Linked DNA regions of Xenopus tropicalis. The protein of the gene in region 1 purifies or fractionates together with the protein of each later gene. This does not show direct contact. Links are inferred from orthologs where the notes say so. Each region holds a gene or a part of one and is shown in the gene's direction. Other genes may lie near its edges.

Region 1 (4,454 bases):
AATATGGCACAGAATGTCTAGGTTTTTTCTGGAACCAGCTCATGAAAATCTGTAAGCAAAGCATTTAAAACTCCATGCTTATTATATTTCAGCACACAATGGTGCAGAGAGATCCTGACTCATATCAGGGAGGGCAAGGACCAGTGCGCTACTTGCCTCTGTTGCCATAGCAACAGGATGCAGCTATAGCATCAGCATCTTCAACCTGTGGCATTCCGGCTGATCATGTACATCATCAATGCTGTTGTTGGCATTATGGGAATTGTAGTTCCAACAGCTTTGGAAACTGACGTGCATGATCCTTAACTAGCTCTTAAATTCTCCAACATCTTTTCCTATGGTTTTTTTTTGCTTCCACCCACTCAGTTTCTATGCAGTATATAAAAACCCATCCTTTATATTCTTCTGCAATGCTCACACTGCGACCTTTCTCCCCCCTCCCCGCGCATTTGTGTGTCTCTGCATGTGTCCTGCCTTCTCCCTGCTCCTCCCCCTCTTTCCCTCCTCCTACCCTTGGCAGAGCAGATATAAATCATATCCATCACCTCCTCCCCTCCCCAAATAAGAGTATTAAAAAAGGTTCTGAAACAAAGGAGCCCTGCAGTGTCCCGCGACTCAAAGAAAAAAAAAGAATTCTGTGTGCCCAAAGCACAGCCAAGCAAAAGGGACTAGGGGTCCTGTCTGCATTAGCCTCACAGGGGGGGGGCAGCAAAGCCAGTGCTATTCACTCAGGCAAGGGGAGCCCATGCAGTGGCCCTCCAGCTGTTACTTCTCCATACCTGACAGTGATCAGCAACAACTGATTCACCTATTATTTTAGAGGATTTATCATAGCAAATGTGATAGACTACTGCGGGTAACTTTTTCAGCTGTATCAGTTAGCTAGCCCCTCAATATTCTGCATTACATCTATTTGAATAGAACCTTTGGTGCAATGTAGCCCACACACCATATACCTGTGTAAAAGCATATCCACATATTGAAGGTTGTCTTTTATCATTATTCTTTATTTATATAGTGCCACCACATTTCTGCAGTGCTTTAGTAATGATTCATCTTTCACATAAATGATTGGCCAAGTGGAGCTTACAATCTAATGTCCTTCTTCACACAGGATCTGATACACTATAGAGATCCTAATAGAACCTCTTGTTAGTGGAGGTTGTAGTCTCATGATGGAGGGGATGCAGGCTGTGAGGACACAAAGTGATCCCTGCATGGAGCTGCAATGGCCAATGCAATGCTGCTCCCTCACGCAGCCCCAGCTACTGCCCGTTAGAACAACGTGGTGGAGGTGTGCCAGTGTCCTTCCGCTGCTGGCGGAGGGATCTGCAAGTGGAGGCATTAGAAGGAGATAGGGGGAGGGGGACTACACCCGGGCGCTGCCCTATTTCCTTGGCTTCTGCTGGCTGTCTGAGCTCAGATTATCTCCGGCCGTGACGGAGCCGCTTCACCCCCCTTCCCCGTTACCGGCTACCCACACCCTATTCCCCCCGCAAGCTCTAGTGAGGAACCGTTATTTTGCAGCGTGACGACCCCCTTTCTACCCGCACTGAAGATGTCCGGCTGGCAGGATTACGTGGATATGCTGATGGCCGATGGCAGCTGCCAGGAGGCCGCCATTGTCGGTTACGTGGACGCCAAGTACGTCTGGGCAACGACTCCGGGGGGCATCTTTCAGATTATAACGGTAAGCGGAATGAGGATGCAGGAGACTGATTGCCGCTATGTGCTGCACCTGCCGCCTGGGGGCGGGACTTGCGTCTAACGGGCTCCGGCTGCACAAAGGGGCCACACGGGACGCGGCTTGTCTGTATCTGTGCCGGTAATTCTGCGCTCCCCTGGGGGGCAATGTGTGTGTATGGTGCTGCCCTACTGCATAGAGTGTGCAGAGCTTTCACTGGAGGCCATTAGTGACCCAGTGCAAGTGGCACCAGGCCCAGTGCTTTACCGCGACACGTCGCATGCGACTTTAGTATGTCAGCAGTATAGCCGTATATATGCATATTGTAATGCACTTATTATTCAGCCAATGTCCCCCGGGGGCACTGGCCTCGCATTGTCTTATTGGATTCACAGGGTTTTTGAGAGGAGGGCAAAAAGGGCATTTGAAGAAGGAACTCTGTATCAGGGTGGCCCTCTGGGGGAAGGAATGGAAATAAAAGTACAATAGACCTGTACTGAGTAATTGTGTTCTCTATATTTGTCTGTGATGTTCAGTCTCGGGTTGTAGTTCAGCAACAACAGAGGCTGGAGATCCCTGATCCATTTACCCACTGCTAACATTGGGGCCTCCTGTATGTTACTATGTATTCCTCTATGGCCAAGGGCCCTCTGTTCTCTAAATGGCAGTGGAAACTTCTATCCTTGTTCAAGGGCTATGGGCACAATCAGTGCAGCTATTTCCTATGGCCATTTTGCCTTTAGGGAAGGTGTGTGCTAAGTGCAGCCCTGTGCTGCTTCTCACTACACCACTGGCTCTTGCTTGATGCTGGGAGTTGTAGGAAAGGTCCATGTGATCTTCCCACTGTTAATCTGCTGCCTCTGGAATGCTAGTCTGTATCTGGGGGAACTCTGAATGAATGTATGTAGTACAGGGAGGAACAGCCTCTGTGCCCCTGGAAGCCTGAAGGTAGTAGCAGGAGGGCCGCAGCATGCCCATCTTTGGTGTAGGGTGAAATGTGTAGGATCAGGCCGGCGTGCCATTGACTCACCACAAGTCGTTTGCATAGCACCCAGCCGCTGTCGTGGATGAGATTTAAAGCACCTGACGTAAGCAGCTTTCGTGAATCCCAGCCCCCGCTTCTCTCTCCATATTCTTCTGCAAGATGGCGTGGTCCCATTGATTTTTTTTTTCTCCTCTGTCTCCCTAACATTTACATTTTTTAGTCTCCCTGCCCGACATCATTGCTGGGTACCTCTACCTTTTTTTCCCCCCTCTCGTAAGCATCGCTGTGTCGTTAAGATTTGTGCTTTAGGGGTGCTGAGATCTAATTGGGTAGCGCAATTAAAAATTCTGCTGCATTCACAATGGCATCCTGCTGAATGGGGGCTACATAATGCCGTCCTTAACTCTCTCATGGCTAGTGTAGAAGCCCAAGAAAGAGCCATTTGTTTTGTGATTTATACATTACAGCCAAATTCAGTCGGTCCTTGTTTAAGGCTTCACATTGCAGTTGCATTTTTATGTCACATATATTTCAAACCCAAGCTGAAGTATTTTGGCACGAAGCCCAAAAACTTTAAAAATCACGCTGGTTGGTGCTGAATGAATCTGCCAGTGTCTGTCATACCATTCCAGTTGTGGCATAGCCGATGAACAATCTGCTGGGCCTTAGAAAGCTCATATTGCACATTGGTGTCTGTATCGGGTTTTAATTGAGAGATTTTTCAAGTCATCAATATAAAGCAGTTATTCCACTTCCTCCTCTGAGAACTTGTGCAGAATAAGTTCTTCTATAGAGCCAACTTTAAATGAGTCAAATACTCAGAAATAATTAACTGTAGTTCGAAGCATTCTTCCAATACACAGTAAATCTTTTATTCATGTAGTTAGTTGGGACTTGTGATTTCTATTGAAAGAATCATTTTTCAGTGCGTTGCTATTTCTTGTCCTTGCTACTTTTACCATTGGAACAATGTAGCAAGTCAGCTCTTCCTTAGCCAAGATTATTATTCCCACTGGGAAATGGAGTCTTGGCTGGAGAAGAGCTGACTCTTGCTACATTGTTTCAGTGGTCCAAGGAGTCAGGACCAGCAGTGCAATAAATAGCAAGTGACAGGCTGTTTTTAATAGCCATTGCAATTCCATTTAACTGAAGATTTGAATTATTTTAATGTAAATTTGAGAGTTGGTGAACTTTTTCACTTTGCAATTTGTTAGTATTTGGCTGACATTTCCTTTTAATATCAGACTGCAAGATTGTGACATTAATTTGAGTGACAAATTTAGAGCAATAGTCTGATTAATACATCATCAGTCTGGTTAATAATACACTGATGTCTCATTTGGGTAAGAGTGTCTCAACTGGGGCTGAGCAGCAGCTATTGAACTGTAGCTCCTTGCATTGCTAATAGCAGAGATTTCAGGATCAGCAATACCCAGGGGCTGTGGGTGATACGCTACCTTTATTGATCACTTATGATTTATCTCTATGTAAGTACATCTGGAGAAGGGTTAATCACTGGCACGGCCACTGGTAATTTAGGATGATATCACAGAACAGAGTAGAATGTTAGCCCTTGGGGATCCTACGAGTAATATTTGAACAGTTGTTCAGTATGTTCAGTTAATTTATGGAATAACTTGGCTTGCTTTCAGCAGCAACTGCACATTTTATGATTCATACTTTTTATTTTTGTATTACCCTGGTCAGAATGATTGACAGGGCTGCTAGTGCCTATCATATGACACATTGGTGGCGGGCGTGCAAGTTGGATGGGTTGAATATAGA
Region 2 (4,708 bases), on another chromosome or scaffold:
TGTATACACACATATCTCTCTTTTTTTAGTAATATTGTGATATATATGGCCCGTGACGTGTCCTTAAAAATTTTAAAAATAACTCTTTTGCATGTCTGGCTAAGCAAAGACTATTTTTATACTGTTGCCAGAAGGTCAGAGCTGTAAGCAGCACTTTTTATGTTTTTATATTTATCTACTAATTTTGTTTTGTCACTTTAACTTTTTATTTCACGTTTGGAGCCAATCAGGTCTCCAGCTCTAACATCTGGCTATTAAGCTCTTTTACCCCTAGCTTTTGTGAAACCACAACTGTGAAGGGATCCTATCTAGCTGAGGTAAAGGACAGTCTATAGACCACTACAGTTGTAGGACTTTTGGCTTCAGGGTAGGGGATAAATAGGACTCCCCTAGACCTGATGAAGAGGGCCTAAGACACCTGCCCCTTCAGGCCTCCTCGCTGGGGGGGCATTCATTCTTTCCATTTTAAAGGAGGGTCTAAATTTGCTGACCCTTGCATTCTTTTGTTTTTTTTTTGCACCTGGGTGAAAAAGCATGTTCTTCAGGCTTCAAAAAACATATGAGTGAGATTGGCAGGGAAGGTCATAGTCATAGTAAACTTAGACTTTGCTGATAAACTTGGTCTTTGCTGATATGAGGGTTGGTTACTTGGGGAGCTCACATTCCAGTTACTGCATGGGGCTCCAAATGTTTTACTTTAGATTAGTTTAGATTTTTTTTCCTTACATACGTTGCATTTTATTCTCAGGGGGACGGATGATCTTCGACAGTATCAGCTTAACCAATAAATACGTTTATGAGTACCAGAGGTCATTGTAGAGCTGTAAACTGTAAAGTTAAATAACAAATGGTTGACCTGCATAGGAAATGGAAGTATGGACAAAGAGCAGTATCGCTGACTCAGAGCAGGGAAGGCGATTTAAAAGTGTTTATATAAGGAAATATGTGCTATAATGATACTTTTCTTTCCCTTACAACACAGCCATACATGAAGAAATAACTAGGCACTATCACAATATGCTGGCGCTAGAGACAAGAAGTGCAATCGAGTCACTGTATTCATGGATTGTACGCAACACAATGCAGTGCGTCACTGTAACGTTACAAAGCTTACTGTCTCGGCAGGCTGCAGAAATCCTAACGAACTGCATTTGGTCCTGACATTTCTGCAGACATAAACGTGCAGACTATCTGCTTTGCAAAGCCATGTTTTAAGAGAGTAAATCATTTCAGGCCAATAAAGAATATAAAAAGAAAGAGTTCTGCACCGCGCCCTTTATTATACAGCAATTAATGGAAAGGATAAGGCGTGGTATATCTAAGTGTAGATTTAATGAAACATATATATGTATATTGATATCTATGTATGTACGTATCTGTGTATATACGTATCCGCATCCTAGCTAGTAGGTGTAACTGCCTCACTCTACGCGCCCCCTTCGCCCGCAGTTCCTACAGCCAATCAGCTTCCCAGTTCCTGGAACGCTCCTTATATGGTGCAGCCGGCTGGGGCGCGCAGCATAAAACCGGCGCCCTAGCCCGACAACTGCTCAGTGACCCGCCCGCACAGAAACAGGACAGTGTGTGTGTCGTACTCTCAGGCAAGTAGCGCCGAGCCTGCTATTGTTGTGCTTTTCCTCTGCTATTTCCTGCTTCTATTCGCCTATTTTTCTCTATATATTATTAGAATAAGCATGATTTGGTTCTAATTGGCTATGTTTTTCATAATGTGCTTGAAATAGTTGGTAGCTTAATGTAGCGTTATTTACTTGAAGGTAAGACTTGTTAGTAGACAAGCGTGAAGCCTGGTTCTGGAATTGTGCTAAAGTTCAGTTCCTTATATGCTTAATTAGATCTTAATTGATAAAGGACACTGGAAGTTGTAGGTTGTACATACTGGAGAGCTGGGGAACCATTTTTCTGTTACAGCAGGTTTAACTTGTAAGTTGCATTTAAAAATAGGGTTTTGTTTTTTTTTTGTATCGTTTCCTCTTCTGTAAACTGAGCCCCCAATAGCAGCGCCGCTTGGGGATGTGCGATTGGGCGGTTCCCTGCCGATGTTAGTGTGAGGCTGCACACAAAGCTACATATTGTGTATAAGTGTGTGATGCAATCTGTGTCGGAACAGCCTTTTGCTGTCTAAAATATATTGGCGGTAGTTCTCTCCCGCTTCGGTTTAGACTTTCCATATGCATGTATATCCGTAACTAGAATACAAAAGCGCAAGTTACATCTTATATATTTATTTTGTCCTTGCACTGGTAAAAACGGAGTCACACCTGCAGTATGTGATTCTGTCCTGTAGTGTTGCCTTCATGAAACATTGGGAGTGGTAGTCGGTTGGTTCGATTGCCTAATACCAGCAGTGACTTGTTTCTTTGCCACACCTTCACTATCCATGGCTGGATGGGAGGGGTGCTTGTGTAAATCTTTGCTGTTGCCTTATTTGGTAATACAGAAAATAAATCGATTTCCCTTTGTCTAAATCTGTACAGAAATGGTGCAAACCCCTGCGCCCTCTTGTGACAGACCTTATGAAATGCAAGTAATGGGCAGGAAGCGTCCTTGTGGTATATACCAGCGCTCATAATTTGGGTGGATAATTATCTCAATTTTATTTATTTTTTAAATTTCAGATTACAATGGACGACGATATTGCTGCACTGGTCGTTGACAATGGTTCTGGTATGTGCAAAGCCGGCTTTGCAGGTGATGATGCACCCCGTGCTGTTTTCCCATCCATTGTTGGTCGCCCAAGACATCAGGTATGCCCTTTTCATGCCTTTTTCATTTCATGTCTAAATAAAACCTAGAAATAAAACTAGTAAAGCACCTCTAACAAATCAGTGTGTTGTCCCAAGGAGGTAAAACATTTTTTTTTTTTTTTTATGTATTTAACTGTTAAAGGTGAAACTAATCTGGGGGCAAATAAAACTGCAATTCTGCATGGGTTATAGGTATGTTGGTAACAATATATTTGCCATTGAGTGTTTTTAAACCATACACGTAAGGATAGTTTCCAAAAAGTGTTGCATAAGATGATGCAATTTTTTTTATTTTTTTTTTTTTTTTTACTCTTTCAAATAAACACTGCAGGCAGGAATAATCACATAAATAGCTGTGCCTAGGGCACCCCCCAACTCTTGTGCCCTAGGCTTGTGTCGGTTATTCCTTTAAGCTGGTTTTGGGCACTTCTCGGCAAGGCTGAAACTAGGAGTAGGCATATTTAAAATAAACTCTTTATACTGTCCACACAAACCCTGTTTATTGACTTATGCTGTGTAAGTGCTAAAGCCAGTTACATTTTCCAACCCTGCATGAAAAGAATTTCTTTTCAGAGTGTAATGTGGTTTAATTTAAATGGAAAAATATTTTAATTAAGTGCAGGTTAAGTGTGTGTATATAGATATTTAATATGATATATATATTGTACTTTGCACACTACATTTCCATATTCTTTGCAAATTGCCTACTTCTGTTTATTTGTGAAATACACAGGGGCGTGGTTAACATAGCAAATGTTCTTGCATACTCTTGTTTCCTGTAAGCACAAGATGACAGGAAGTATTACGAAATTAGAGGGCCCTGCCCAAAAGAGCTTTTACTCTAGAATTTCCTCTTAAAGTCTGCATTATGTGAGGTCCATGAAAATCCACTTTATTCATTCCATTGTCTGGCTAGTATTGAATTAAGGCATGCTTTTCATTTACTAAATTACTTAATTTAGTCCAAATTGTCTTACGCTTTATTTTAGGGTGTCATGGTTGGAATGGGACAGAAAGATAGCTACGTAGGAGACGAAGCTCAAAGCAAAAGAGGTATTCTTACACTCAAATATCCTATTGAGCATGGCATTGTCACTAACTGGGATGATATGGAGAAGATCTGGCATCATACCTTCTACAATGAACTCAGAGTGGCCCCAGAGGAACACCCAGTGCTGCTGACAGAAGCACCCTTGAATCCCAAAGCTAACCGGGAGAAAATGACGCAGGTATGTTACCTGTTTTCTGGTGTGAGGGTTTGGGTTGTGGGTTTTGTTTTGTGTTTTTTGTTTTTTAATTATATAATTGCTATTCCTTACAGGGCTGTCCTGGCCTCAAAGTTTACTGGAATCTCAAAGGTTTTTTTTCAGTATTTGCCTGTTTTACATCAAGGGTAGAATACTAACAATGTTAGCGTTGTGTGAAAAGTGCTGAATGATGGCTTGTTTTTCAAAGTTCACTTTGCTTGTGTTTTTCCTCACATTGGCCCTGCCTAAATTTGTGTTGTGTGCAGCAAAATCAAATGCTGTTCTGAAACTACACATGCATGAGTTTTGGATGCCTTTATGCAGGTAATGTGCTAATTGCCTTTTCAACCATTACAGATCATGTTTGAGACCTTTAACACTCCAGCTATGTATGTTGCCATCCAAGCTGTGTTGTCCCTGTATGCATCTGGTCGTACCACTGGTATTGTCATGGACTCAGGTGATGGTGTAACACACACTGTGCCAATATATGAAGGTTATGCTCTACCCCATGCCATTCTGCGTCTGGACTTGGCTGGACGTGACCTGACAGACTACCTCATGAAAATCCTCACTGAGAGGGGGTACAGCTTCACCACCACAGCTGAAAGAGAAATTGTTCGTGATATCAAGGAGAAATTGTGCTATGTTGCTCTGGACTTTGAGCAGGAGATGGCCACAGCTGCTTCTTCTTCA

The links.
Region 2: the proteins of pfn2 (region 1) and actb purify together in Homo sapiens (affinity purification with mass spectrometry; 3 studies listed by BioGRID and IntAct, counting the BioPlex papers as one, with this or other methods). This does not show direct contact. The link is inferred for Xenopus tropicalis from reciprocal best matches to the Homo sapiens genes PFN2 and ACTB.

What each region holds. Positions count from the first base shown.
Region 1 is NC_030681.2:118,614,813-118,619,266, forward strand, and holds the start of pfn2 (profilin-2), read left to right. Parts: upstream 1-1,443; 5' UTR 1,444-1,558; coding exon 1,559-1,690; intron 1,691-4,454. UniProt on the Homo sapiens protein: Binds to actin and affects the structure of the cytoskeleton. At high concentrations, profilin prevents the polymerization of actin, whereas it enhances it at low concentrations. By binding to PIP2, it inhibits the formation of IP3 and DG.
Region 2 is NC_030685.2:46,572,411-46,577,118, reverse strand, and holds the start of actb (actin, cytoplasmic 1), read left to right. Parts: upstream 1-1,575; 5' UTR 1,576-1,601; intron 1,602-2,636; 5' UTR 2,637-2,642; coding exon 2,643-2,765; intron 2,766-3,754; coding exon 3,755-3,994; intron 3,995-4,369; coding exon 4,370-4,708. UniProt on the Homo sapiens protein: Actin is a highly conserved protein that polymerizes to produce filaments that form cross-linked networks in the cytoplasm of cells.